Linked DNA regions of Caenorhabditis elegans. The protein of the gene in region 1 purifies or fractionates together with the protein of each later gene. This does not show direct contact. Each region holds a gene or a part of one and is shown in the gene's direction. Other genes may lie near its edges. The genes, in order: ndc-80, npp-20, dnj-20 and cdt-1.

Evidence for each region.
Region 2: the proteins of ndc-80 (region 1) and npp-20 fractionate together in Caenorhabditis elegans (co-fractionation; one large-scale study listed by BioGRID). This does not show direct contact.
Region 3: the proteins of ndc-80 (region 1) and dnj-20 fractionate together in Caenorhabditis elegans (co-fractionation; one large-scale study listed by BioGRID). This does not show direct contact.
Region 4: the proteins of ndc-80 (region 1) and cdt-1 fractionate together in Caenorhabditis elegans (co-fractionation; one large-scale study listed by BioGRID). This does not show direct contact.

Annotation. Positions count from the first base shown.
Region 1 is NC_003282.8:10,084,558-10,088,945, forward strand, and holds ndc-80 (Kinetochore protein ndc-80), read left to right. Parts: upstream 1-1,579; 5' UTR 1,580-1,589; coding exon 1,590-1,702; intron 1,703-1,749; coding exon 1,750-2,152; intron 2,153-2,204; coding exon 2,205-2,492; intron 2,493-2,539; coding exon 2,540-2,899; intron 2,900-2,977; coding exon 2,978-3,081; intron 3,082-3,128; coding exon 3,129-3,257; intron 3,258-3,329; coding exon 3,330-3,648; intron 3,649-3,696; coding exon 3,697-3,753; 3' UTR 3,754-3,880; downstream 3,881-4,388. Other genes in the region: col-2 (Cuticle collagen 2), read right to left, coding at 1-553, 601-880; ttr-39 (Transthyretin-like family protein), read right to left, coding at 3,926-4,003, 4,046-4,239. UniProt on the Caenorhabditis elegans protein: Acts as a component of the essential kinetochore-associated ndc-80 complex, which is required for chromosome segregation in mitosis and meiosis and spindle checkpoint activity.
Region 2 is NC_003282.8:1,490,131-1,497,897, reverse strand, and holds npp-20 (Protein SEC13 homolog), read left to right. Parts: upstream 1-1,875; 5' UTR 1,876-1,890; coding exon 1,891-1,938; intron 1,939-2,007; coding exon 2,008-2,082; intron 2,083-2,171; coding exon 2,172-2,293; intron 2,294-2,953; coding exon 2,954-3,268; intron 3,269-5,583; coding exon 5,584-5,854; intron 5,855-6,949; coding exon 6,950-7,060; 3' UTR 7,061-7,245; downstream 7,246-7,767.
Region 3 is NC_003280.10:9,618,147-9,625,934, reverse strand, and holds the start of dnj-20 (DnaJ homolog dnj-20), read left to right. Parts: upstream 1-1,758; 5' UTR 1,759-1,764; coding exon 1,765-1,890; intron 1,891-1,946; coding exon 1,947-2,042; intron 2,043-2,178; coding exon 2,179-2,343; intron 2,344-2,442; coding exon 2,443-2,508; intron 2,509-2,616; coding exon 2,617-2,787; intron 2,788-2,844; coding exon 2,845-2,966; intron 2,967-3,239; exon of another isoform or gene 3,240-3,520; intron 3,521-6,691; coding exon 6,692-6,815; intron 6,816-7,097; coding exon 7,098-7,295; 3' UTR 7,296-7,788. Other genes in the region: ZK1307.8 (Glucosidase 2 subunit beta), read right to left, coding at 1-308, 361-1,053, 1,197-1,296.
Region 4 is NC_003279.8:3,222,654-3,229,803, reverse strand, and holds cdt-1 (CDT1 Geminin-binding domain-containing protein), read left to right. Parts: upstream 1-1,699; 5' UTR 1,700-1,836; coding exon 1,837-1,902; intron 1,903-1,961; coding exon 1,962-2,925; intron 2,926-4,038; coding exon 4,039-4,891; intron 4,892-6,013; coding exon 6,014-6,185; 3' UTR 6,186-6,644; downstream 6,645-7,150. Other genes in the region: txl-1 (Thioredoxin-like protein), read right to left, coding at 106-356; rom-5 (rhomboid protease), read left to right, coding at 6,854-7,054.

The DNA of each region.
Region 1 (4,388 bases):
TCTCCTTCTCCTCCTGGCTTTCCAGCGGTTCCTGGTCCTCCTGGGTTTCCGTCAGCTCCTGGTGCTCCAGCAGCTCCTGGTGGTCCCTTTGGTCCAGCTGGTCCTGGTCCTCCGGTTCCTGGGGCTCCGTCATTTCCGGCTGGTCCGGCTGGTCCTGGTGGTCCAGCTGGTCCTGGCTCTCCTGGTCCTCCTTGCTCGGATGCTCCTGGTTCTCCTGGTCCTCCTGGGGCTCCTGGGGCTCCGTCGTTTCCGGCTGGTCCTGCTGGTCCTGGTGGTCCGGCTGGTCCTGGGCCTGATGGTCCGGCTGGTGATCCTGGGTTTCCATCTGGTCCCGGTGGTCCTGGTGGTCCGGCTGGACCAGCTGGTCCTGGTGGTCCTCCTGGGCATGGTTGGCATGGTGGTTGAGTAACTGGCTCACATGGAGCTGATGCTCCTTTTCCTGGATTTCCTGGGGCTCCTGGAGCTCCTGGCTTTCCTGGCTTTCCTGGTTTTCCGGGAGATCCACCTGGTCCTGGTGGTCCAGGATTGCAGCATCCATCACATCCTCCGCCGCCTGAAAATGTATTCAAATACTTAAACTCTGTGAACCAAGATCCTTACCTCCGCCTCCGCCTCCTCCAGCTCCTCCAGTGGAATAAGCTTGACGAGCAACACGAGTATTGTTTCCTGGAGCATCCTTAATAAGATGCACCTCACTCCAGATATCACGAGCAGAAACCTTGCAGAAATTAACATCAGTGTGAATCTGTTTCTTCACATTATTAACATAGTTATAAACCATTGGCAATGTGATGAAAACAGAGACAACGGCGACAACCGAGAAGGTGACTGCCGAATAGGCAACAAATTTATAAGCTTTGATACGAGCGTCGATGTCCATGATTACTGTTGGAGGGTGAGTGATGGACTGAAGAATTCCAAAAGAACTGATGTTTTTATACTAGAGACGTCCATGGCTATTACTTGGAACTGGTATAATTGTTCTTGTTAAGGAGAAAGAAAAGAGAAAGAATAAGAGGATCCAGTTCTGTGTTATCACTCCATTGGTTAAAGATACTGGTTTATTATTGTAAACTATATCAGTTTCTCGAAGAAAAAAAATTTGACGTAATTATTGGCTGGAAACTTCAATTACAAAAATGCAAATATTAAGGGGCAACTTCTGTTTATCAATATACCGACTGGAAATGATCTAACCATTGTAGGAAAATTCAATTCTATTGTATATTAATCGTGTTTGAAATTATATCTCAAAAGTTCCAACAATTCCTTCATTCTGGAATCTCCGGAAATCAGTTTCCTCGCGAGTGCAGCGTCTCTGTAATGTAAGTGCGCTCCAATCACAATTGCTATAGCGGGAAAATTCAAATGTGACTTCTCTCTCTCTCTCTCGATATTGTTTTTACTCAAATTTCTATTTTCGTTTTTTTTTTCATAAATATTTCTGTAAAAATGTTTTTTCTTCTTTAAGTTGGAAAACAAAGTTCTCAATAGTTGCCAGAATTATTTTTTTAAATTTTATATGCGTCGCCTTCCGTTAGTATATTCAGTTCTGGTCAATTTTATTCGCTCATTACAGTTTCTTGACAATGTTTGGAGATCGAAGAAAAACGGGCGGCTTGAATCTCAACGGACGTGCCTCAATCGCTATCACTCCGACTAAAAGATTCACCGATTATACTGGATCAACATCAGTCAGAAAGTAAAAATATCCAATTTCGTGCGATGAAGAACTAATCTAATTTGCAGAACTGACGCTCGCCCCAGTCTGAGTCAACCTCGTGTGTCATTGTTTAATACTAAAAATTCATCAGTTGCTCCGCGAGATGTGAAATCATTGGTCAGCTTAAATGGAAGCAAAATTTACAACTTTCTTGTGGAATATGAAAGCTCGGATGCACCATCAGAACAGCTCATTATGAAACCTCGTGGAAAGAATGATTTCATTGCTTGTTTCGAATTAATTTACCAACATCTCAGTAAAGACTACGAATTTCCACGGCATGAGCGGATTGAAGAGGAGGTGTCCCAGATATTCAAAGGTCTTGGATACCCGTATCCACTCAAAAACAGCTACTACCAACCAATGGGATCTTCTCATGGATATCCACATCTTCTTGACGCACTTTCTTGGCTTATTGATATCATTAGAGTTAGTAACTGATTTTTTTATTATTTTCATCCCTATTTATTTAACCATTTAGATCAATTCTGCTGTCAGTGAGGACACACAAAATATCCTGTTCGGTGATTTCATGGAACAGGGAAAAGCTCAAGAAAAAACGCTCAATTATGCATGGATGACAAGTACATTCAGAGATTATACAAATGATCGAAAAGCAGCAGAAAATCCCAGTTCTTCATACTGGGACGACACGAAGCATCGTCTACGGAAGTATTTCGAGCAATCCAATGAATTCGAGGATATGACTAAAACAGCTGCATCAGCTCTGGAGATGCTCAATTACGAATGTGATGAGATAGAGGCTGATGTAAGTAGAATTTCGATACTTTTGTTTTAAAGAAGTTTTATTTTCAGAAAGGAAACGAAGCAAGCTTAAAAGAAGAGATATCAAGAATCAGAGACGACATCCGAAAAGCTAAAGATTATCTCGAGCAAAATCTTCATGTTAAGCAGCATATGGAGAAAGAACTGGCTATGGTGAAGTCGGAGCAAGAGGAGAAAATTTCAGAAAATGAAAAAGTGCAAAAGATGGTGGACGATCTGAAGAACAAAATTGAGTTGCAAAAACAAATTCACGGATTGACAGGAAAAGAAGTGCGTCAAATGAATCTTGACAATAATAAAGACAAGGAGGTGGTACTGGAAATTCAAAGCGAGTTGGATCGTCTATCAAAAGAAACATGGAAACTCAAAGATGAAGACTTCTTCAAAGAGGTATTCTAGGTTTTTGGAAAGTTGAATGCCTATCATTCACGGAAATACTTGTATGACAATCAAATTTGTATGTTTCAGCAAAAGTCCAAATTCATTCATCTCGCAGAACAAATCATGAAAATTCTCAGTGGACTTAATATTCAAATGAATCTTGAACCACTAAGAGCTCCAACGAATGAAAGGTAAATTTCTAACAATTTATTAAAAATTCACAAATCTACATTTTCAGAGATCTTAAGGATTACTGGGAGACGTTGAACAAGATATGGGTTCCAGAGATCAGCCGACAGTTGCATCAGAGAAAGCTTGAGCTTGAGACTGAACAGTCAAGATTTTCAAATAAAGCAGTTACCGCAGAGTAAGTTGTACTCGAATTAAGCGCCGTTCCATTGAATGTTAATAATATACACATTTATAAACAATAATTCAGAGAAAGAATCCAAATTCAAAGCGAAACACTCTGTGAAGCGAAGAAGAATGAGGCTCGCGAAGAACGAATTCGTCGAAACGAACGTGATAGCTGGAAAGATGCTCGCAAACATATTGAACAACGATATGAACAACTATTGAATGAAAAAGAAGTACTTCTAAAGCAAATGAAACTTGATGGAAGCCTCGAGAAAGAAATCGAAGATGAGACCGCCAGAATGTCTGCAACTGGAGAAGAACACATACAAAAGAGATCTCAATTGGAAGCTGGAATCCGGCAAATATTGGATCTGATGGTAGTGGAAATCGCCGAGATTGAGGTAGGTCCTGTCAATTTTACTGAGCTATTCTATTTTTCATTTTTTCAGAACAAAAAGATAGGATTCCACGTGCAATGTGCTGGCATTGAAAAGGCGGTTCTTTAGTCTCCTTTGGCATAATCATTCTGTGAATAATACTAGCTTTCATTAAAAGAAAAAAAAAATGACTCTAACATTTATTTCTGTGGTTTAGACTTATTTTATAAAAAGCCAATGAACAATGATTTCCAGCAAAGCGAACTTTAATATATTACACAAAAAATGGTTTCAAGCAAGTTTAATAACAATGTGGTTCCTCTTTGTGCTTCACACCGATTTCCATGTTAGGAACTCCTAAGTCAAACCACTTATTCACCTGAAAAATTATTTTGATGGAGTATGAAGTATCATCAATTACCTGCATCCCCTTGTTCACATAATTGTCTGGGACAGTGAAAGTAATCTTGCGTCGACAAACTTTGGAAGATGAACGACAATTGTGATATATACGTAGTTGGGGATCAATTGCAGTTATTGAAATTGCAAATCCAGATACTTCGAAAGTTCCGTCTTCGTTTACATGGGTTTCAGCAATAAGATCGTCTGGATCGACTGAAAATTGAATTTTTTGTAGTTTTTTGAAGCAATGTTTTATAACGGTTTTGTGGGGATCGTCCCCACAAAAATAGACGAGAGATCCTGTTTTTTAAGTGAACAATGTTTTATCATAATTTGTTCTTGTTTTGGTATTCACTTGAATT
Region 2 (7,767 bases), 8.6 Mb from region 1:
AAACCTCGAATTTCCGAGATTTGTCGATTTTCTTCGGAAAAACTATGTACTTTAACAAATTTACAGGGATTTTTTTGGAAAATTTCTGGAATTTTCCAACTTTCTCGCAAAAAATTTAAAATTATCGATTTTTTGATAATTTATCTATCAAATCAAGTGGCAGAAAGGAGAAAAACAATAAAAAGGGCAGTCCGCACGTGCAGAATTGAAGAGAAAGAGGACCTCAGCCAGGGTGAGAGAGTGTAGAGGGTGTGGAGACGCAGACACTGAAAGAAGGGGGTTCAGAGATGTGGAGAGTGCAGAGATGTTGGTGTGATGAAGACTTGGCAGTGTGCCAAATGATATTTTTTATGGAATATGATGCAATTGTGCTCTGTTGATAATTTTTGGGGTGGCAGGATTCTTTTGGGGGAAATTATTGATTTTTTTTTTCTTTAAATTTGATTTTTCTATAAAAAAAATTGGATTTTCTATAAGAATTTAGATAAATAATAGTTTTCTTATATTTGCTTTAATGATTTTTCGGCACAAATAACAGATTTTTTCAAAAAAAAATTTTTTTTTACTTTTTGGGGATTTTTATCGGAAATTTGAAAAAAACTGAAACTTACGATTTTGATGCTTCTTGAAACTATTATTTTTCGAAACTTTTTTCAAAAAAATTCTGGAAATTATTGATTTTTGTCCTAAAAATTTTTAAAACCCCGAAATTCTATCGAAAAATAATTCAACATTTTTAGATTTTGCGTGAAAACTCTGTTAGAATATCGACTTTTCTGTCAATTTTCAATTTTTTTCCGCAAAAACTGCCAGAATTTCCTCAAATAGTTCATTTTCGATTGAATTTCCAAATTAATCCGAAAAATCGATAATTTTTTGATTTTTAACTGGATTTTTCGATAGAAACGTTAACTTTGCTGACTTTCTAAAATTTTTACAAAAAAAAACATTTTAAAAAACGTTGGAAAACACATAAAATTCGAGTTTTTCGGCTGGAAATTGGGGAAAACACAAAAAAAAACAAAATGTTCTACAGTAACCTTGAAACTGCGCGTCGGGTTAGATGCATTGATACGCAATTGCGTACAATGCATTTTACTTGCCGCGCACACTTTTTGGAATTATTTTCAGCAAAAATTGCAATTTTTCAAGTATTTCAGCGAAGAAATTGAAAAAAATAAGATAATTGCAAAAATACAAGCGGGTTTTAAAGTTTTCTTTTTAAAAATCTCAAGTTTCTCAATAAAAATATAGAAAACATGTTTTAAAACAGGAATAAGCGAAAAACTATTATAATTTATTGATTTTCGCCTCCAAATCACGCTAGAAAATCAAACTGATGATCATGACAGAAAGAAATGATCGTAAAAATTGCGCTGACGACGTCACGCGACCCGCAATAAGACACACGGAGGCTAAGCACAAAATATAATGTGTTTTTTTTTCATTTGAATCTTTTTTTCAGACTTCAAAGTACGGCGTGTTGATATTGATGATCAGAAGAAAAAATCAAAACAGAAGAAAAAACAAGGACAATATAATTAAGAAAGTTGTTTTTCAGAACTTTGATCTTTTAATCTGTGTTGAAAGGTTCCCTGAGTTGTTTTTGATTTAAAATCTTAAAAAGTAGAACTAGAAATTGTTATTTTTATCAAATTATCAACAATTTCCCATTCGAATTCTCCAGGTTTCCATCAATTATTATTTTCTCGTGATTAAATCCACGTTCCTTGGCGCACGAGAAACACGCCAGCTATCGTTTGCTGGCGCGTTTCTCGTGTTGACGCGTTTCTCGATCGTTCCAACTTGCAATTTTTAAATTCAATTTTTGCCGAAATTCACTCAATTTTTAGCGATTTTTTTCGAAATTTCTAGATTTTCAGCTGAAAAATGACCACGGTCCGCCAGAGAATCGATACACAACATCGTGACGCAATTGTAAGTCGGAAAATCTGAATTTTAGCTAAGAAAATCTATTTTTTTTTTTTAAATTCTGAAAAATTGCAGCACGACGCTCAGCTCAACATCTACGGAAGCCGACTCGCCACGTGTGGATCTGACCGTCTTGTGAAGATTTTTGAGGTCAGGAAAGGCGAAAAATCTTGGATTTTCTGCAAAAATCCCAGAATTTTCATAATTTCAACGCAAAAAAAAATATAAAAATATTACAGGTTCGCCCAAATGGCCAGTCATATCCGATGGCGGAGCTTGTCGGACACAGTGGTCCCGTTTGGAAAGTCTCATGGGCTCATCCGAAATATGGAGGACTTCTTGCCTCCGCTTCCTATGATAAGTACGGAATATTTGGAAAAAAAAACGGAAAAATGATCAAAATTTGCTAGATTCGATCAGAATTTCATAAAAATACGCTAAAATCTCTGTTTTTAATCGGTTTTCAGCTCATTTTTTGGGTTTTTTGCCAAAAATTGGTTAAACAGAGTGATTTTGGAAGAAAATGGACACAAATATTGAAAAATGCAGCCTATTTCTGAAATTTCAATGAGTTTGATCATTTTTCACCGATTTTACGCTATTTTCCCTTTAAATTCACGGATTATTTAAAGAAAAATCAGTATTTTCGGTCAATTTTCACAGTTTTTTTTTGAATTTCAAGCCTAATTTCCCTCAAATCCACCAAAATTTTAAAAACTTCAACGGGTTTTATGAAATTTTTACCGATTTTCTGCAATTTTTTCCCGAATTTTAGTCGATTTCTGCCCCGATTTTTGTAATTTTTATCGATTTTATTCAATTTTCATAGTTTTTTTTTCGGAATTTTGAGCCAATTTACCCCCCAATCCAACGTTTTTTTCTGGAATTTCCATGAATTTCAGTAGTTTTTCACGGGTTTTTTGCAATTTTTAGCTCATTTTGCTCTAATTTCAGGCATTTTTCATCAATTTTCACAGATTTTCAGCCAATTTTCCCCCAAATGAATCGATTTTCTTTCCAGAAAAGTGATAATCTGGAACGAACAACAAGGCCGCTGGCAAAAAGCCTACGAATGGGCCGCTCATGAGGCCAGTACGACTTGTGTGGCCTTTGCACCACACCAATATGGCCTAATGTTGGCTTCTGCCTCTGCTGACGGTGATATCGGTATTCTTCGATACGACAATTCGAGCAACGAATGGATTTCGTCGAAAATTCAGAAATGTCATGAACAAGGAGTTAATTCAGTGTGTTGGGCACCTGGAAGTGCTGATCCGGCGGCAAAAAAACGTCTTGTTTCAGCTGGAAATGATAAAAATGTCAAGATTTGGGCTTTGTGAGTAGAGAAAATGCACTGAAAATCGATTTTTTAGATTTTTTAGATTTTTTTTGACCCGAAAAACGTGAAATTTTGACGTTTTTTCGATGGAAAATACAAAAACCGCAATTTTCTCAGGTTCTCAAAAGTCAGATTTTTTGTAAGCCTAAGCCTAAGCTTAAGCCTACGCCTACGCCTAGGCCTAAGCCTCAAATTGCCAAAACTTCTCGGAAAAAAAGTCGTAAAATTTTACTTTTTTTTCAGCAAAATTGGCAGATTTTATGAAATTTTCCCAAAAAAGTTGTATTTTTGATCCAAAATTTGTTTAAAAATCACAAATTAGTGCAGTTCTTACCGGAAATTTTTGAAAAATTCAAATTTTTCCCTCAAAATTACCTGATTTTTTGCTAAAATCACAAGAATTTCTGAGATTTTTCCCCTGAAAAAGTCAGTTTTTCTGGGATGAAAAAATTCGCAAAATAAAAATTAAATTCGGATTTTTTTTAAGGCCTAAGCCTTAGCCTAAGCCTGAATTCCAGAATTAAAAAAAATTTCCTTCTGAAAAATCAATGAAAAAATTGTTTTTTTTTCTGAAATTCTCAAAATTTACAATGTTAAAGTTAAAAATTCGACCCAATAGCGTATTTTTTCACCGAAAATTCTCAAATTTCTTAAATTTTCACCTGAAAAATCCCATTATTTTGCCAGTGACGACGCGAAAAACGAGAAAAAATGGAAATTTTTCGCCAAAGTTCCAGATTTTTCTAGAGTTTCCTTTGAAAAATCCTTTTTTTTGACAATTTTTCCGTGAAATAACCCATTTTTTCACAGTTTTCCATCAAAAAAGACTAAAAATCCGACCATTTAATAAATTTCTTTCTAAAAAATTGTAAAAGTAAAAGCGAATTCTACCCGAATTTCAGATTATCGTGTTAAATTCAAAATTTCCAGGTTTTGGATATTTTTTAACAGATATTTGTCGAATTTCCTGGATTTTCCCCCTGAAACATCCAATTTTTCGGTTTTTTGATTAAAAAAAAACTGAAAAAATCACTCAAAAAATAATTTAAACTTGAAAATTTGTCCCAAAAGCTGTTTTTTTTGCAAAAAATTCTCAAATTCCAGATTTTTCGCAGTTTCATTTCAAAAAACCCCCAAAATCGGAAATTTTTATTAATCTTTTTTGCTGAAAAATCAGAAAAAAAGTATATTCTTTCGAAATTTTTGTCGAATTTCCTGAATTTCCTCTTGAAAAATCCATTTTTTGACAATTTTTCCGCGAAATTACCCATTTTTTTACAGTGACGACGCGCTACAAACAAAATTGTTGGTGAAAATTCGAAAAAAAAAAAAAAATTTCCCCATTATAATGCAGAAATTTGGGTTCGCTTTGGAAAATCCCAATTTTGAAGCTGCCCAAAAGCTGATTTCCCACTGAATTTTGTCGAATTTATTGGGGTTTCTCACTGCAACTTTTTCCTCACGAGGGACGAGGAAAAGTGGTTTCTAGGCCATGGCCGAGGGGCCGACAAGTTTCAGCGGCCATTTATCTTGCTTTGTTTTCCGCCTGTTTTCTTTTGTTTTTCATCGATTTTTTTCGTTTTTTCTTATTAAAACTGATAAATAAATATTTTTTGCAGATGCTAAAACGATTTCCAAGTAAAAAAAAAATGTATTCAGTGGGCAAGCAGCGGTGAAAGTGGGCAATGTAAAATGATGGATTACGGGAATACAAAACCTAAACTTTTTCTGAAACATGATACATATGATGCTTAGATGCTGAAATTACCTGATTTTCATAACGAGACCGTTAAAAAAGTTTTGAGGTTTTCAAAATTCAATTTTTTGTGCGAAAATCTCGACTTTTTTACCAAAAAAGTTGAATTGTGGAAACCTCAAAACTTTTTCAGCGGACTCGTTATGAAAATCAGGTAGTCTCAGCATTTAAGCAGCATATGTATCATGTTTCAGAAAAAGTTTAGGTTTTGTATTCCCGTAATCCATCATTTTACATTGCCCACTTTCACCGCTGCTTGCCCACTGGATACATAATTTTTTAACTTGGAAATTGTTTTAGCATCTGCAAAAAATATTTATTTATCAGTTTTAATAAGAAAAAACGGGAAAAAGCTGTGAAAAACAAAAGAAAACACGCGGAAAACAAAGCAAGATAAATGGCCGCTGAAACTTGTCGGCCCCTCGGCCATGGCCTAGAAACCACTTTTCCTCGTCCCTCGTGAGGAAAAAGTTGCAGTGTTATTGGGGTTTCCTAAGAAAAATTCATTTTCTTAATGACAATTTTCCTTCGAAATCACCAATATTTTTTCCTCCAGTGACGACGCTACAAACGAATGGATTCTCGAGAAAACCCTAGCCGGACACACAGATTTTGTACGTGAAGCCGCATGGTGCCCGGTAACAAATAATGGACAACATACAATTGTTAGCTGTGGAATGGAGGGAAATTTGGTACTTTTCCGTACTTCAAATATTGAAACTGAAGAGTGGAAGGCGAAATTATTGGAGACGGCTCCGTGTGCATTGTACCATTCATCATTTTCTCCGTGTGGATCATTCCTTTCAGTTGCTGGCGATGATAATGTGGTATGGAATCGAGGATTTTTGTGTGGAATAATGTGGAAATTGGCACCGAAATTGGGAAAATTATGGATTTTTTACGTCAAAAATGGCACAATTTTTGAAAAAAAAAAGTGTACAAAAACAGCGAAAATCATCGCTTCAAAAACGGAAAATTGTCACATTTTTAGCAAAAATCGCTGAAATTTTGGATTTTTTAGCTCAAAATTATGATTTTTCGAGCAAAACCTAGAAAATTCGAAAAAATTTGGAAAAAATAGCGAAAAAAAAAAGCATTTTGGCATTAAAAAAAACGGAAAAAAATCTTACCTACCTCTAGCCGCAGTAGGCATGAGGCAGGTGGCAGGTTTTTGTGAGGAAAATTTTGATTTTTTTTTTTTTTTTTTTTTTGGTTTTAATACAACTTCTATCTTTTTTGCCCGGTTTTTCGTAATTTTAGGAAGAATTTTTCAGAATTTTCGTTGAAATTCGATTTTTTCAGGTGATTTTGATCGAAAAATGCTAAAAATATTAATTTTCGAGCAAAACCTGGAAAATTCAAAATTTTGGAAAAAAAAATCTATTGAGAACTGGCAAAAAAGTGGGAAAACAAAAAATTTTTTTTACCGGAAAATTGGCCAAAATCACTTCAAAATCAATTTTTTTTACATAAAAACCGGCGAATTTCGGTTGAAAAGTATCGATTTTTGAGCAGCACATGAAAATTTCAATTTTTATGAAAAATTTGAGAAAAAGCTACCGAAAACTTGCAAAAAAAGCATTTTGGCACGAAAAATCTGAATAAATGGAAAAAAAATACTCAAAAATTCAGAATTTGCAGTAATTTTACTGAAAATGGCGAAAAATTCGAATTTTCCGATCAAATCACCGGAATTAATTGAATTTCAACGAAAATTCTGAAAAATTCGACCTAGAATTACGAAAAACCAGACGAAATGTTCCCGCCTGCCTAATGCCTACACGTGTGCCTACCGTGCCTACAGGTAGGTAGGCAAATCTTCTTAAAAAAGTGCCGTTTCTACAAAAAAAAGCATATGATAAGCTCTGTTTGCAGGCAGGCAGGCACCTACGCCTAAAAACGCTCATTTTCCAATTTTGCAGATCACAATTTGGCGCGAAAATCTTCAGGGACAATGGATCAAAGTGCCACGTGACAATAAGGAACGCGAGGGAATGAGCCAAGCGGTCGGAGCTCCGGGAGCTCAGAGATAAATAAATTATTTATTTTTTTTCGCTGTTTCTACACCCATAATTCCTCTTAAAACTTGTATATGTACCTGTTATTATTGATTTTTTTCCTCATTTACTTCTCCGAATCCAGATATTTTATGATTTTCCTTCTTTTTCTCTCTCAAAAAACTAATGCGAAACCGGGATGAAGTTTTATTTATTTATTGATTTTTTTCGACTAAATTCAGATTTTCTCTTATTTTTGAAAAATTGGTCGCAGTAGCGCAGTCGGTTACGGGCTGGGCTGGGACGCAGAAGACCGGGGTTCGACTCCGCGTGGTGGGAATTTTCTTTATCTTAGCGTGATTGATACTGTTAACAAGCTGAAACTGAGTATAACCTGCTGGAAACTAGTGAAACTTGAAAAAAATCAGTTTTTTTTCGGAAAAATGCGGAACAGTTTTTGAAAACATGATTTTTACAAATTTCCATGCACATGTTCAAATTTCTCGCACAATTTTCGTTTATTTGACACCAATATTGGCTCATTTCCGAGGATTTTTCGAAAAATTGGTTGCAGTAGCGCAGGCGGCAACGGGCTGGGCTGGGACGCAGAAGACCGGGGTTCGACCCCGCGTGCTGGGAATAATTTTTTTCTTGGTTGATACTATTATCTAGCGGAAGTTGACCGAAATTTGTTAGAAATTAGAAATAATCTCGAATAGTTTGGGTTTTGTGTCATTTTTTTG
Region 3 (7,788 bases), on another chromosome or scaffold:
AACTTTCGTATTAACTTCATCGAATAGTCGACGTGCTTCACGTGCTTTTTCAGTTAATTGTTGAACTTCTGGTGGATAGTCTGGCATCTTCTCGTCATCCTCATCTGGGTGGGCAATATCCTCCGAACCTTCAGCATCGTGTCTGTCTTCTTCTGCTAGAAGATCATCGTCATCTGGAGCATTTTCTAAAGCTTTAGCTCTTTCCTTTTCCTCTTCTTCTTTGTGTCGGATGTCGTCAAGATGAGTGCGTTTAGCAGTTTTCAGTCGATCGTACATGAGTGACTGGAAGTGCTCCAAATCAGCTTCATCTGAAATAAATTAATATTTTAAATATAAAACCTTAAAATCTTTCAAACTTACCAACTGTGTGATATGCTTTAACCTCATCTTCACTAACGAATCCATCATTATCATCGTCTAAAAATATATTCTGTCTGAGCTCTTCTTTATCGATTTTTCCATTCTTATCCAAATCCAACTCATCGAACCATTCTGCTGCTCTCAACTTCTTCTTTTCATTTTTCACTGATTCCCATTGATTTCTATGTTCATCTTGCAACTTTCTCTCTGCATCTTCCGCAACCTTTTTCTCTCCTTCAAACTTCACACGATCCGGCTCCAAAAGTGCTCTTTCTTGTCTAAGTGGCTCGACATCCTTCAGCTTAGAATCTCTCAAAGCTTGTCCTTCCTTAGCCAACTCTTGACGCTTCTGGTATCCTTTTCTAGCTATATTTGCAACTTTTTCATGTTCAATTCTAGCTGCTCTGCCTAGTTCATCACAAATGTTTGGGCAATCGACACCAGAATCATACTCGTCACTTCCATCACAGCAATCGCAAAGTTTATCATTTACTCGGTTAGTTGGAATGAAATTTCCTTTATGACCGACATTGGAGCAGTAGAAAAAAGCGTTTCCACAAGCAGAAGTTCCGGGCTCATCACTTCCATCTTTACAATCGCAATAGTCATCGTTTAATTGGGAATAGAGAATTGTTTGGGATCCGTCCAAGCATCGGAAGGTGTCAGTTGTGGAAGGTTGGTACAGGTTGAGACCTGAAAATCGATAAATGAAAGTATAATGGGTTTTATATGTGGAGCCAATAGGGATTTTTATCTTGAAATTAAAATAAAAATTTTTGAGTTTAAAACTTTAATTGAACAGTTCATAACGATTTTAAAATGTTGTAAATACTTACGAGAATGAGGAACTCCCTTTACCGGTTTCAGTTGTCTCTGAGTGACGTCTTCAGCTGCTAAAAATGCAGGCAGTAGGAATATTAATATTTTTGGAAGCATATCTGTAAAATATATGCTTTGAAATTCTGAAAATAGTCAACAACATAGCAATAGAAATCAAAAAATTGATAATTCACAAAGAAAATTTTCAAAAAGAAAAAAAGAGGGTTACGGTTTTAATTTAAAGGCGCATATGTGGTTCAGGATGGGTCTCATGCCGATATCAATGTTTTAAAGTTTTAACGTTCGAAAACAAATTTTTTATTATTGATTTTTCTTTGTTTAAACAAGTTTTCTAATCATTTTCGACATAAAAACTTTAAAAAATACCAAAAACATGCCAATAATTTTATAACCGATAAGAAAAAATGCAAGTGCGCTCCACCGCTTCACCGTTTAACTGACGTGTGCATAAACGTGGTAGTTTTTGGACTTTTTCATCCGGAAAAATAATTTTCTTAGAATTTCAGCCCCAATTTCTTTGTGTCCTGCTCTAAATTTTCTAAAAAAAATTTTTTGCAGTAAAACATGCGGATATTGAACGTTTCCCTACTGGTCTTGGCCTCATCCCTGGTCGCTTTTGTCGAGTGTGGAAGGGATTTTTATAAAATTTTGGGTGTCGCAAAAAATGCCAATGCTAATCAGATTAAAAAGGTAAGTTTTTGAATTGTTAATTGAGTTTTTATATTGAAAATTTGCAATTATTTCAGGCCTATCGAAAATTAGCAAAAGAATTACACCCCGATAGGAACCAGGACGATGAAATGGCAAATGAGAAATTCCAAGATTTATCGTCGGCTTACGAGGTTTGTAGATTTAAAACTAGTTTTCATTCTGCCATTCAAAATAAGTTTAAAAAAAAACAAATACCCAAAAGAAAAATTTTGGTGCTGATTCTCCAAGATCTAATTTTCCAAAACGTCACAAAAATCGATTTTTCAGGTACTTTCTGATAAAGAAAAACGAGCAATGTACGATCGACATGGAGAAGAAGGTGTTGCGAAAATGGGTGGTGGTGGTGGTGGAGGCCATGATCCATTCTCATCATTCTTCGGAGACTTCTTCGGTGGCGGAGGTGGTCATGGAGGTGAAGAAGGAACTCCAAAGGTTATTTATCAATATTTAAAACTATTTCCTTTCGAATTTAGTTTCAAATATACGCGAAAGTTTAATTATTAATTAATTTCACAATTATTGATTTTTCAGGGAGCTGATGTGACAATCGACTTGTTCGTCACGCTGGAAGAGGTGTACAATGGACATTTTGTCGAGGTAAGTGAAATAGGACTTAAATCTGCAAAAAAGAATCCAGTTGAAATAATCGGATTATCATAGTTCACAATAACATGTTCCCCCTTATAAGAAATTCATTTTTTCCAGATCAAACGTAAAAAGGCGGTTTACAAGCAAACGTCAGGAACTCGTCAATGTAACTGCCGTCACGAGATGCGTACCGAACAAATGGGACAGGGAAGGTTCCAAATGTTCCAAGTGAAAGTTTGTGACGAGTGCCCAAATGTGAAGCTGGTTCAGGAGAATAAAGTTTTGGAGGTGAGCGATACTTTTTTTTTGGCAGTGAAGTTATTCTAATTCAACATAAATTTTAAGGTTGAAGTGGAGGTTGGAGCCGATAATGGTCATCAACAAATTTTCCACGGAGAGGGAGAACCACACATTGAAGGAGATCCAGGAGATTTGAAATTCAAGATTCGAATTCAGAAGCATCCAAGGTAGGTTTTCCTTCTCTTTTTAAATTTATTTGATCTTCCCCTCCTCAGAAGCCGTCTAGCTTAGAAAAATTGCACTTTTTTAACGAATTCCCTCAAAAACCCATTAGTTTCTCCGTTATTTTTTCTCCTCCTTGTTTCTAACGATTCCATCATTTAGTTAGTTAGTTTTAGTTGGAAAAGTGTAACATTTTTGACTTCCTCATCATCACACTCTTCACTCCACCACGCACTTGTACTTTTTTCCGCAGGTGAACGAACACTCGATGTTTTTTCACTGAAAATAGTGTTGAATTTTTGTTTAGAAATTGTATTTCTAACCCGGAAATGTGAAACTTCCTCGTTGATATGTCGAAAAATATGGGAAATTTGGAATTATTAAATCGTCAGAAAAAATCATCCCAATTTTCAAAATCAGATATTTTCGTGATTATTGAATTCTTCTTGTAACGCAGACGCCTAAAGATGAGAATTTTCGGTAGATCATGGGTCTCGCCACGCGGGCAATGCGTTACAGTAATCTGCTATCCGCGTTGCGAGACATTTCGTCGTTTGCATAATATGTTCATTTCCCTATAAACAAAAAATTCGCCAAAAAAGTGAAACCGCTCTTCCACTTAACACCTCTCACTCATAGTCATTCCGATTTTCTCCCATCATTTCCAACACAAAACTGTGAAACCAGTTCAGATTTGGCATGTGTCAATCACACATACTTATACTGTTGAATACTAAATACATACATAATACCCTAACGTCATTCATAACTGAAAATTTGTGAGAGAACATTCTCCTGTACTTTTCCGTCGAAAATTGTGATATAGGAAGTTTTGCTATTTTAATTAAAATTTAGACAGGCAGAAATCACATGTTCGCTTTGAGAGACCGCCCTGTTAGTCAGTTAGTCAACCCCGCAAACAAGCACACACACGAGAAAGTGAAGGTGGCTCGTGATTTTAGAGAAAAAACAGACATGTTCGGACTGTTTCACAATTGTTTGCTTTATTCCTTGCTCTTCCACCTGTCCAATCCGAACGAGCACATAACGCATTGCTAACCCGGTTTTTGCCAATTTATTGAATTAGAACAATTAATTGTTTAGCTCTCTTGAAATATCAAAACATTTAGTGGAAGCCTATTCGGTAGAATGTTTTCCCTTTGAAATGAACACTCATAGTTCAACACCCAACCATCCGCCCATCTCTCCTCGTTTACATTTCAATTGATTCATTTTCACTGATTTCACAATTTGAATGAGGGCGTTGGTACTGTGTGCGTATTCATCGTCACTTGTTTCGTCTCCTTGTTCATCTTCTCGGCAACAACAACGTTTTGTTTTTCAAAAGAAGAAGGAATTTATGATTTTAATCGTTGTTTTCGCTGATCATCGGATTTTTCGAATTGAACAATTTTCGGCATTTAAGAATGGCATTTCTGTTTCACATTTCTCTCAAAGTTTGCTACTGAACAGTGATGGGTCTGCCCAAACATCCGGTTAGAGCATTCCCGATTGATGAATCGATAAAAAATCGTCGTCAGCCGCAAACAGACGCACACATACTTTGTGCTCATTCATTTCTTCTTTTTCACTTTTTTTTTCGTCCGGCCCATGAGCTTGGTTTCTCTTTCTCTCTCTCTCCCTCTCTTGATTTTCTATTTGTCCAACTGATTGATGTGTGTGTAGAAGCGAAGTTTGTCATTCTCTCTCTGTGCTCCACCGGGCTCAAGACTAGGCTCTTGACGACGAGCACCAGGTTGCGCTTGCGTCAGTTCGTCCTTTCGCTCATTTCTTCTTTGGCTTCTAGCGTTGATTGACGGCTTATCTTTTGTCAGACGTTCTTTATCGATTACCATGATTTTGAGAAATTTTATTTCAATCTTTTAGGATGTGGATTTTCAAAATGTAACATGGTAATTTTAAGTTAAAAATTGCCTTCGATGCCTTCAAAATTCAAATGAAAATTGCCGATGAAAACGTTTGTTTAACGGTGAAATTAATCGGCAATTAATCTTTGCTGGCCTTCGACAGCTTGTTATTGTTAACCGAATTTTAGTCAACTGATACTAGTCACGATCTTCAGAATTGCCATTCTTCATTAAACCCCACGCATACTTTTATAGTTGTTTCCGAAATATGTTTCTTATCAAAATGAGGAATTGATTAAATTCCAATCAATCTAAATATCTTGTCCTCGTCCAACTCAAATGACAAGGTTGTGTCAATCGAGAAGATGATGATCAAGAAGAAACGTTGGAAACCGATTGATTGATTTGAATTGAAATGACATTATTTTCTACGCCCACCTTCTCTTGTTTGGGTGTGTATGTTGCAAGTATCTATTGTATTGCACTTCTTCCGTGTTTAAAGTTCTCCATTGCTTGATGTCGTTTGGGTTACTGTAGCTCTGGAATTTATATATTTTTCCATTTTGTTGATTCATTTTCAGAAATTTCCACCACCTCCACACAATGTGTTCTTTTATTTTGTGTGCATGTTGGGGAGAGAAATAACAAAAGTGTATATTAAAAAACGCCCACACCTGTGATTTTTCTTTCCCTTTCTCTCACTCTCTTCTCTCCCCCTACCACGCATTTCTCCAGGTCGTCGTCTCCAGGATTCTCTTATCAGTTTCTATCTCATCCGCCGTTTTCCTTCCCAATTTCCACACGTTTTTTTCCTTCTCCGCCGCAGTCGTCTCAGATTTTTTGTCAGTCTCGTCTTTTTATCTAATGAAAACTGGAATAGTTCCGGTTTTGTTGCTACTCATTTCGTTCTCTCGGGATTCGGGATAAGCGATATTACCCGATTACGCGGACAGGTTCCAACTTTGACATCAGAAGCTGACGATGAAAAAACTTTGACTACGTGATTCGGGATTTTTTAGGTATTTCTAGATAATCACACTTCATGTTCACACGGAACTTGCTGATAGTTCGATAGCTGCATTGAATCTGATTTGATCGTGTTTCACTGGAAGCGAGAGAATGTTCAATGTCTTTTTATACTTCTACACATTGATCCATAAATTAAATACACCTGAGGGCATACATAATATAGTGCTCCTGAATGATTTTAAAGTAACCTTCTCACACTGTTCTTATTTAAAAAATGCATAGTGGGAGTAAAAGAGTCAATCAAGATGACCCCGATCGACATCTTCTTCATCTTTTTTCCAATCTACTCGTATCGTTGTTCATGTCAATGACAATATCATTTCACTTCTTCTTCTTCTTTTCCTCCTTCTACTTCTAACTAACTACTACTATTACTAATCTCCGCAATATGTATATACATGCCTTCCGCGCCTCCTCTCTGCGAGTAGTAGGAGGAGATGTAATACGAAACGAATGTTTGATGCGTTGGCGGTATGTGTGTGTGTGCCCGGGCGGGATGCGTCTGCTTCTCTATGTCATCGTCTCGGTGCATCAATAGCAGCAGTTCTGACTCTCTCTATCACTGTCATCTCACACTGATCTGCGTTTTTGCTGTTGGAATTGATTGGGAATGAAGTGAGACATCACGCTATCTCTATCAGCAAGTGTTGTGTGTGTGTGTCGATCAATTCACGAATTGGCGGGAAATGATCGGCAGTTCGTTTTTGCTCGTCTCGTGTCTCAGAACTTTTAGTCTACCGTATATAAAATGAAATTTAGTTCCACTTCTTACTTTGGACCTTTCCAATCTCCGTTATAAGCTCATATAATCTCAATCTATAAATGTTTTACAGGTTCGAACGCAAGGGTGATGATCTGTACACAAATGTGACAATTTCACTTCAAGACGCGCTCAACGGCTTCGAAATGGAAATTCAACATCTCGACGGGCACATTGTCAAGGTTCAAAGAGATAAGGTTGGTTTTTCTCATATTTTTAGAGAATATATTCGTCACTTTCTGTTTTGCTTCACTAAAAGAATTGTTTAACTTAAAGGGGGTACAATGTTCGAAAGTGTTCAAACAGCTGATCACGAGAATGACGTGGCAAACATAAGGGTGGTGATGAAATGACCACAGTGAACACATATGGTTGAACACAACATTCACGTTTTCTGTTTTCAAAAAGCCAAAAGTTATAGATATTCTTTTTCTAAAATTAATTCCCTTTACCGTTATAATTGAACTTGATTTTTCCAGGTAACCTGGCCAGGGGCCCGTCTTCGTAAGAAGGACGAAGGAATGCCATCCCTTGAAGATAACAACAAGAAGGGTATGCTTGTCGTCACTTTTGATGTTGAATTCCCCAAGACGGAGCTGTCGGACGAACAGAAAGCGCAGATCATCGAGATTCTTCAACAAAACACCGTGAAGCCCAAAGCGTACAACGGCCTCTAAACATTAAATTGGGTGGATGAAGCCTAGAAGTCGACATCAATTACACACACAGTGACCACACTATTAGATCTTTTTCCAATCTGCAAGAAAATTTTTGAAATTTTGCATCGGAAAACTCGTGCTCGATCTCCGGATCAAATCCCACCCCCACCCAACCACTTCAAACCGAAAATCGCCCGAATCTTCTTCTAGCAGACGCTGATCTCTACGTCTTCATCTTCAACTTCATCAAGTCCATCATTTTATAAAACCAATCTTATTTTTCTCAGTTATTTTTTTTCAATGTTTTTTGAGTTTTCTGAGTGGCAAACTTTCGAATTTTAAATTCAAAAAATTTGTATCTGAAAATAATTTAATCATGTTTTCCACTCAAAAAGCCCAAAACCAAACTTGGCCAGCACTCGGTACTAGAAACTGCATCATTGATAAGTTTAAGAAGTTATGGAAATTCTTATGAGTTCACAAAAAACCTCTTATCACTATCATAATCTAA
Region 4 (7,150 bases), on another chromosome or scaffold:
AATATTTTCAAGATATTCAAAATGAAATAATTTCTGAGACTTCACTTTTTTGCAATTTCTTCAAATTTCCCGCATTTCTATTCCAATTCCAGATGAGACCCATACCCGCTCTGGAAAACCATGAACGTTGGCATCGAATTGACACCGTTCTCTGAGCTGGTTTTCTCGCAGATCTCCACATCAACTTTCAGAAAAACTGCTCCAAGATATTGATTGGACAGAGCTTCAAATGTTGGAGCAATCATTTTGCACGGTCCGCACCAGACTGCAGTGAAATCGACAATCACTGACTTGAGACCAGCGAGGGAAAGCTGATTTCTGAAGTCTTCGTCGTCTTTCACGTTGATAACTGGCATGGTGTAGGGGAGATGGGCTGAAAATTAATTTAATATTTAGATTACTGCACTTATTTTTTTAAGGTGGTGTAGTCGAATTTTTTTAAAATTGCTTCATTAGACTCAAAATTGTCTCAAAACACCGAATTTCATGATGAAACTGCTTGAAAACTTCTCAAAAAAAGTTATGACTGCTCAAAAAATGGCCTAAAATTAGTTAAAATTTGAAATTAGACCGACTTTTCAAGCGGCTAAAAACTACCTTTTTTGAAATCACCGTCAAATTTTGAGTATATATAAAATGTAATTATCTTGCGTTTTCAACTCGATTTAGGTATTTTAAAGTCGATGGACGGCGAGATTTGGTTTAAAAAATTTAAAAATCTCGCCGTCCATCGACTTCAAAATATCTGAATCAAATTGAAAATGCAAGATAATATAATTGTATACTCAAAATTAGACGGTAATTTCAAAAAAGTTAGTTTCCAGCCGCTTGACAAGTCGGTCAAATTTCAAATTTTAACTAATTTTAGGCCATTTTTTGAGCAGTCATAACTTTTTTTGAGAAGTTTTCAAGCAGTTTCATCATGAAATTCGGTGTTTTGAGACAATTTTGAGTCTAATGAAGCAATTTTAAAAAAATTCGACTACGCCACCTTTAAAATACGGATTTTTAATCGAAAAATGCAAAATAATCTCAAAAAATGGGAAAAATCCCCAAAATCTAAAGAAAAATTAAAGAAAAAAATTGGGTTTTGAAAAAAGTTGTTATTTTGTAGTTGAATTTGTTGAATTTTTCCCGCTGAAATTCCAATTTTTAAGCTTTCGCATCATTTTTTTTGGGATTTCTGGCAAAAGCTATTGTAAATACTCCCGGAACAATGCACGAATATATTTTAGCTATTTAATACGCAGAAATTGTGAAATTTCGTTATTTTTTGGGCGATTTCTGGGGAAATTTTGACCGAAAAATTGTAATTTCTGGGATCACCGCTTCCAAAATTGTTCAGTTTATAGTTCTAGGAGCAAAAGATATCTCATTCAGAAGAAAAAACGAAAAAAAAATTTCAAAAAATATAGGAATCACGCCAATTTAAATAATTATTCATTAAAAAAAAGATTTTTTGAAGGTTTCCACAGTAAAATGCATTCATTCTCAAACTGATTTTTGGGTAATTTTGGGCATTTTACACGCTAAAATAGGTGAAAAGCACTTTTAAACGCTCTGAACACAATTTTAATATGCAAAAAATAGTATAAATTCCGGAAAATTAAGAAAATCGGCATGAAACGTGGATTTGTCAGCATTCAAAATGAATGCCGGTGCGGCGAGGGAGTGCACGAAGCGTGGAGACGCAGCGGACAACAAACGCGCTCCAATGGACAAAAAGTGCGGGAAACCGGGACTGTTCAAAGTGTACGCTTTGTCTGTCGTCTCTCCCATTTATTTTTTGGTTTTCGCGAATAATTTCGCTGAAATTATTATTTATTCCTGATAAAAATGAGTTCCCGGGTGACTAGATCCAGGTCCCAGACTCCGCAGACTGCTGTAACCGACTTTTTCAAGGTAAATTGGAGTTTGAAGTTATGAATTGCAATTATTTAATGTTTTTTTTTCTTTTTCAGACCACCAGAAAACCGAGAGCAAGAGGAGAAAAGAAGATTATCGATGAAAGCATCACAAAGACCACTACAATTAAAGAAGTACAAATTCCTGCTGCTCCAATCGTCGAGAATAAATCCTCCCGAACTCGCGCTCGGACTCCATCCCGTCAAGCGGAATTATCGAGTTCCGGAACTCCGCCAAAAAAAGCTAGAGAAGCTGAAGCAGAAGCCCCTGAGCTTCCCAAAATCCATGAAGATATTATTCTGGAAAATCCGGCTCCTCAGAAGTCAGCGATCGATAAGCTAATGGAAGCATCCGGCCCAGCGAAAAAGAAGGCTGGAATTCGAACTGTTGCAGATTTACAAGCAAGAATAGCTGCAAAAGGAGCAGCTAAAGCGATTCATGAGCAAAATTTGAAGAACAAAACGAAGCAGGTCGATGATCACGTGGAATTGCTGAAATCTCCGAAGAAACCAGTTATTGTTGAGCATCACAAATCACCTCAGAAATCCAAGGCCGCTCGTAATCTGTTCTCACCGAAGAAGCCAGTTCCAGACTATATTATTCCCGGCTTTAATGTCCTGAAATCGGCCGAAAAAGTTCGCGGAGAGCAGGATGATGCTCACGAAGAAGAGGGAAAACGAATGACTGCAGAGTTTCTGAAGAGCTCACGGCTTATTGATGAAGTTAAGGAGAGTGCACGTCAACGGATTGAACTTCCAACTGCGTATGAACATCTCGCTGATACTTTCAAACGAATCGATCAGATCACTGCGATCTTTATCGGTCAGAATCGAAGCTGTGTGGTTCCTGAGTTGATCAAGAATGTTAAGAATACGTCTGGAAAGGATTTTTCCAATGAACATTTGTCACAAATTCTTCATGTATATCCTCAATCATATCATATTGAGATGCGTGAACAGCGAAAAGCATTCGGCCAGGGCGGGAAGTATGAACTTGAGGTTCGACCGAATCTCGTGGAAGGTTCGTAGCTTTCGGTTGGCAATTTGCAATAAAAACATTTAAAAAATCAGCTATTTCTGACGTATTCCATTAAAATTTAGTGTCAGAAAATAGAAAAAATATTATATTAATCGTAAAATAGCATTCTTTTAAGTTTAAAAAGACTTATCGATTTTTCTTCTCTGTTTGATCACCTCCACACATTTTTGAACTCGAAAATATTTAACGATTAATAAAATATTTCTCTATTTTTTAACAGACCCTATTCATGCTCCTGATACTGATTTTTGATGTGAAAATTTTTCAAAAAATTCAAAAAAAAAGCCCTGGTTTTATATTAATTTTTGGAAATTCTAAAAATACTAGCTTTGCTCAAAAAAAAACTGAAAAAAAACACAATTTTCTCTTCAAAAAGTAAGAAAAAACACAGCTTTTTACCAGATGTTCGAAAAAAAAACTTTTTTGTTTAAAAAATCCAAAAAAAAAACAATTTTTTAGTAAAAAAATTCGAAAAAACTCAATTTTAAGAAAAAAATCCGGGAAAAAAACACCGTTTTTTAGTCATAAAATCGGAAAAAAGATAATTCTTTATTCAAAAAATCCGAAAGAGCTCAATTTTTTAGTCATAAAATCCGATAGAACAGCGTTTTTTGTAAAAAAAACCGAAAATACCGAATTTTTATTCAAAAAATCCGAAAAAAAAACACAATATTTCAGTCAAATAATCCGAAACAACGCTATTTATAAATTGGAAAAAACACCATTTTTTGTTCAAAAAATTAGAAAAAAACAATTATTTTTAATTTAAAAAATCTGGAAAAAACACAATTTTAAGTCGAAAAATCGAAAAAAAAAGACACATTTCTTTAGTCAAAAAAATACGAAAAAACACCTTTCTTGTTCAAAAATCCGAAAAAAACGCAATTTTTTAGTCATAAATGCGAAAAATACGCAATATTTTAGTTTAAAATATCTGAGAAAAACACAATCTTTGTGGCCAAACATTGAAAAAAACACCTTTTTTTGTTCAAAAAATCCCAGAAAAACGCAATTTTTTAGTTATAAAATTCGAAAAAACCCCAATTTTTAGTCAAAAAAAAGTTTCCTGCTTACAAAAAACCTTTTTTTTTGCAGATCTACGAGGCTACATTTACGAAAAATCCCCCACCGACGGCGACACCGAAGATCTTCCACTAGTCTGCCCATCAAAGCTGCTCTCCCCAAAGAAAAGCCCCAGAAAACAAGTTCAACCGGCTCTCCGAAAGCCAGAAGTCGACGGGAGGATTCGCCTGGACGCTGCTCGTCAAAGAGACCGAGCTCATGTTTTCCGTTATAAGTTGGCCTCGATTGTCACGAAATGTCATACGGAATTTTTGGAATCTCAAGGATTATGTGCTTCTTCGAATATTAAGAGAATGCATCCATTATTCCGACTTGACAAGCATTGTCCATCACTGCCGCAGGTGAAACTTCCAGAACCTCCTCTACAGAAATCATCGATTCATATTGGAATGAAAGAAGCTTTAGATAAATATATGGATCAAGTATCTCTACCATCATTTGTTCAAAAAGCTTATCAAGACTTAAAATCTCCACTGAAATCAACTACAGGAGCATCTGGAACAGTTCCAATCTCGCCGAAAAAGTTCTCCGAGATGCAAAAAGAGCAGAAGAGCCAGGGAGCAATGTCACTTTTAGAGCGTATTCGTGCGAAGGAAGCAATCAAAAAGGCGGCTGAAGCTTGTATTGATAAGGATCTTGAGAGAAGAAAGCAACGTCTAACACTGCTCCGTGACCGATATGTTCGAATTGTGTGCAATCATTATACGGCGAAACGGGCTCAGACGATGGAAATTGATGTGATTTGCAAATTTGTGCAGTTCAGCTCGTCCAACTCGTCTTCGATTCCTGATATTATGGATCATTTGAGATTGTTGTGTGAGGTCGCACCGATGTACATCTCTGAAGCTAGTTTAATGAACAAAAAGTTCGTTTTTTCTCGATTTTGAGCCATTTTTGCGAATTCTTTTGCATCGAAATCGAAAGAAAAAACTTGAAAATTGGATGATTTCGGCGAACTTTAAAAAATTGTTTTCAAAAAATGTTGAAAATTCGCAAATTTTTTGAAATAAAATGTCTGAAAAAATGTTTAAAATTCATTGAAAAATCGGAAATTCTCTTAAAAATGCTGAAAACTCTAGAAAGCAGCAAATTAGTAAAAAAAAAATATCAGAACATTTGCAAAAATGGGAATTTTCAGAAAATTCAACTTTTTTTTTGAAAATTAAAAAAAAATCTCGATTTCGGGTCATTTTTGCAAATTCTTTTGCATCGAAATTGAAAGAAAAATCAATCTTGAAAATTTCGCAAGTTTTAAAATATAATTTTCCATAAATTCGCGGTGGTTTTTCAGAAATTTTTGAAAAATATCAAAGAATTTTTAAAAAGTTATGAAAAAAATCGGAAAATTTGATTTTAAAAATTTCTTTGTCTCGATTTACGCAGACGGTGTACTCCACGAGGAGAAGAGTAGTTTTTGGATATGGTGCTCGATTTTGTATGATTTCTGCAAATTTTTTTTCTTTTAAAAATTCGTCTGAAAATTTTTGAATTTTTTTAAAAATTCATTGAAAAATCGGAAATTCCTGAAAATTAGCAAAAATGTTTGGAGATTTTTAAAAAATTCGAAAAAATTGTTTGTAAAAAATCCTGAAAATTCCCAAAAAAAAAATTATGACAATTTTCTGCGAGAGTTTAAAATATTACAGATTTTTTTAAATTTTGAAAAATATCTAATATTCTCGAAAAATTCGCCTTGGAAAATTTCGAAAAATTCATTTTAAAAATAGGAAATTCAAAATTACTACTTTAGCATTAAAAAAATCATAAAAATTCTCCAAATTTTTTAGAAGTTTCCAAAAAAAAAATCGCAAAAATTAAATTTGTGGTTTTCCAACAATAAATGGACCAAAATCAAAAATTTCCACCAAAAAAAACATAACTTCTCCTCGAGGAGTACACGAGCTCCGTAAATCGACACAGACATTTGTGAAAAAAATTACTTGAAAATCGTAAAATTTCAACAAAAAAAATTCTAATTTTTTTCCAGATACTTCCGATTCACCGACAACAACATTGAAGCAATCAACGAGTTGCTCGATGAAGAGCTCCAAATTACTCAGAAAAAGATTGATGAGCAACGAAACACCCAAATTGCACAAATGAGCCACCACCACACACCACGGCCATCCAAAGCAGCAAGATCTCTCAAATTTCATTAAAAACTAATTTCTAAGCCATTTGTAACTAATTTTCTCACTTTTCTCTCATAACATTCCTGCAATTTTTAATTTTTTTCCAAAGAATTTCCAGAAATTTCAAAGATTTTTGAGCATTTTTCGATTTTTTCACGAATTTTCCGGAAAAAAATCGGAAATTTTTCAATACAATTCTCCAAAAAATTCCCGAAAAATCACAAAATTTCCACTATAACTTCTCGAAAATCTTTGTAATTCCTGAACATTTTCAAAGAATTTCTAAAAATTCTCAATTTTCCAGAATTTCTTTGAAAATTCCTGAAAAAATCGGAACTTTTCCAAAAAATCCGTCACTTGTAACTATTTTTCTTCTCGTTTTTTCTCTCATGCTCTGTACCATTTTCCAATTTTTTTTCACTTTTTTCCAAGTTATCACTCTTGCAATTTCAAATTTAAAATTTCAAATAAATCAAAACGTTATTTAGAAAATTAAAATGGAATTAAAATTTTTATTCCAAGCTGTTATTCATTTTCAGCGTAAAAATTATTTTCCGCTTGGCGCATTTTCGGTGCATTGCTGGCGCATTTCGCGATCCGTTTTTCAACCGTTTATGTATTTTTCATCATTCTTCAATGAAAAACTAAATTTTTAAAACAAAATTCAATTTTTCTATAATTTTTCAATTCAGAAAATGCTCAGTAATCGCCTCGTTGGCTTTCTTTGCTCCCGGTCATTCACAAAATGCACAAGCCTGCCGAGCCGATTCACACGTGACGGATTACGGGATCGATTACGACAGCAGGAGCTCAAAGAGCTCACGAAAAATCATCAGATTAAGCAGGCGTTTAGTCCAGACGCTAGAACTGTCAGGCCGATGTCGGATTTGTGGAAAGTACGGGATTTTTTATTTTTTAGTTGAAAATTAGTAAAAAAATCAGTTTTTTCGGCGAAAATTGAAGTAGAAAAGGTTTTTTTTTTGTGTAAAAAA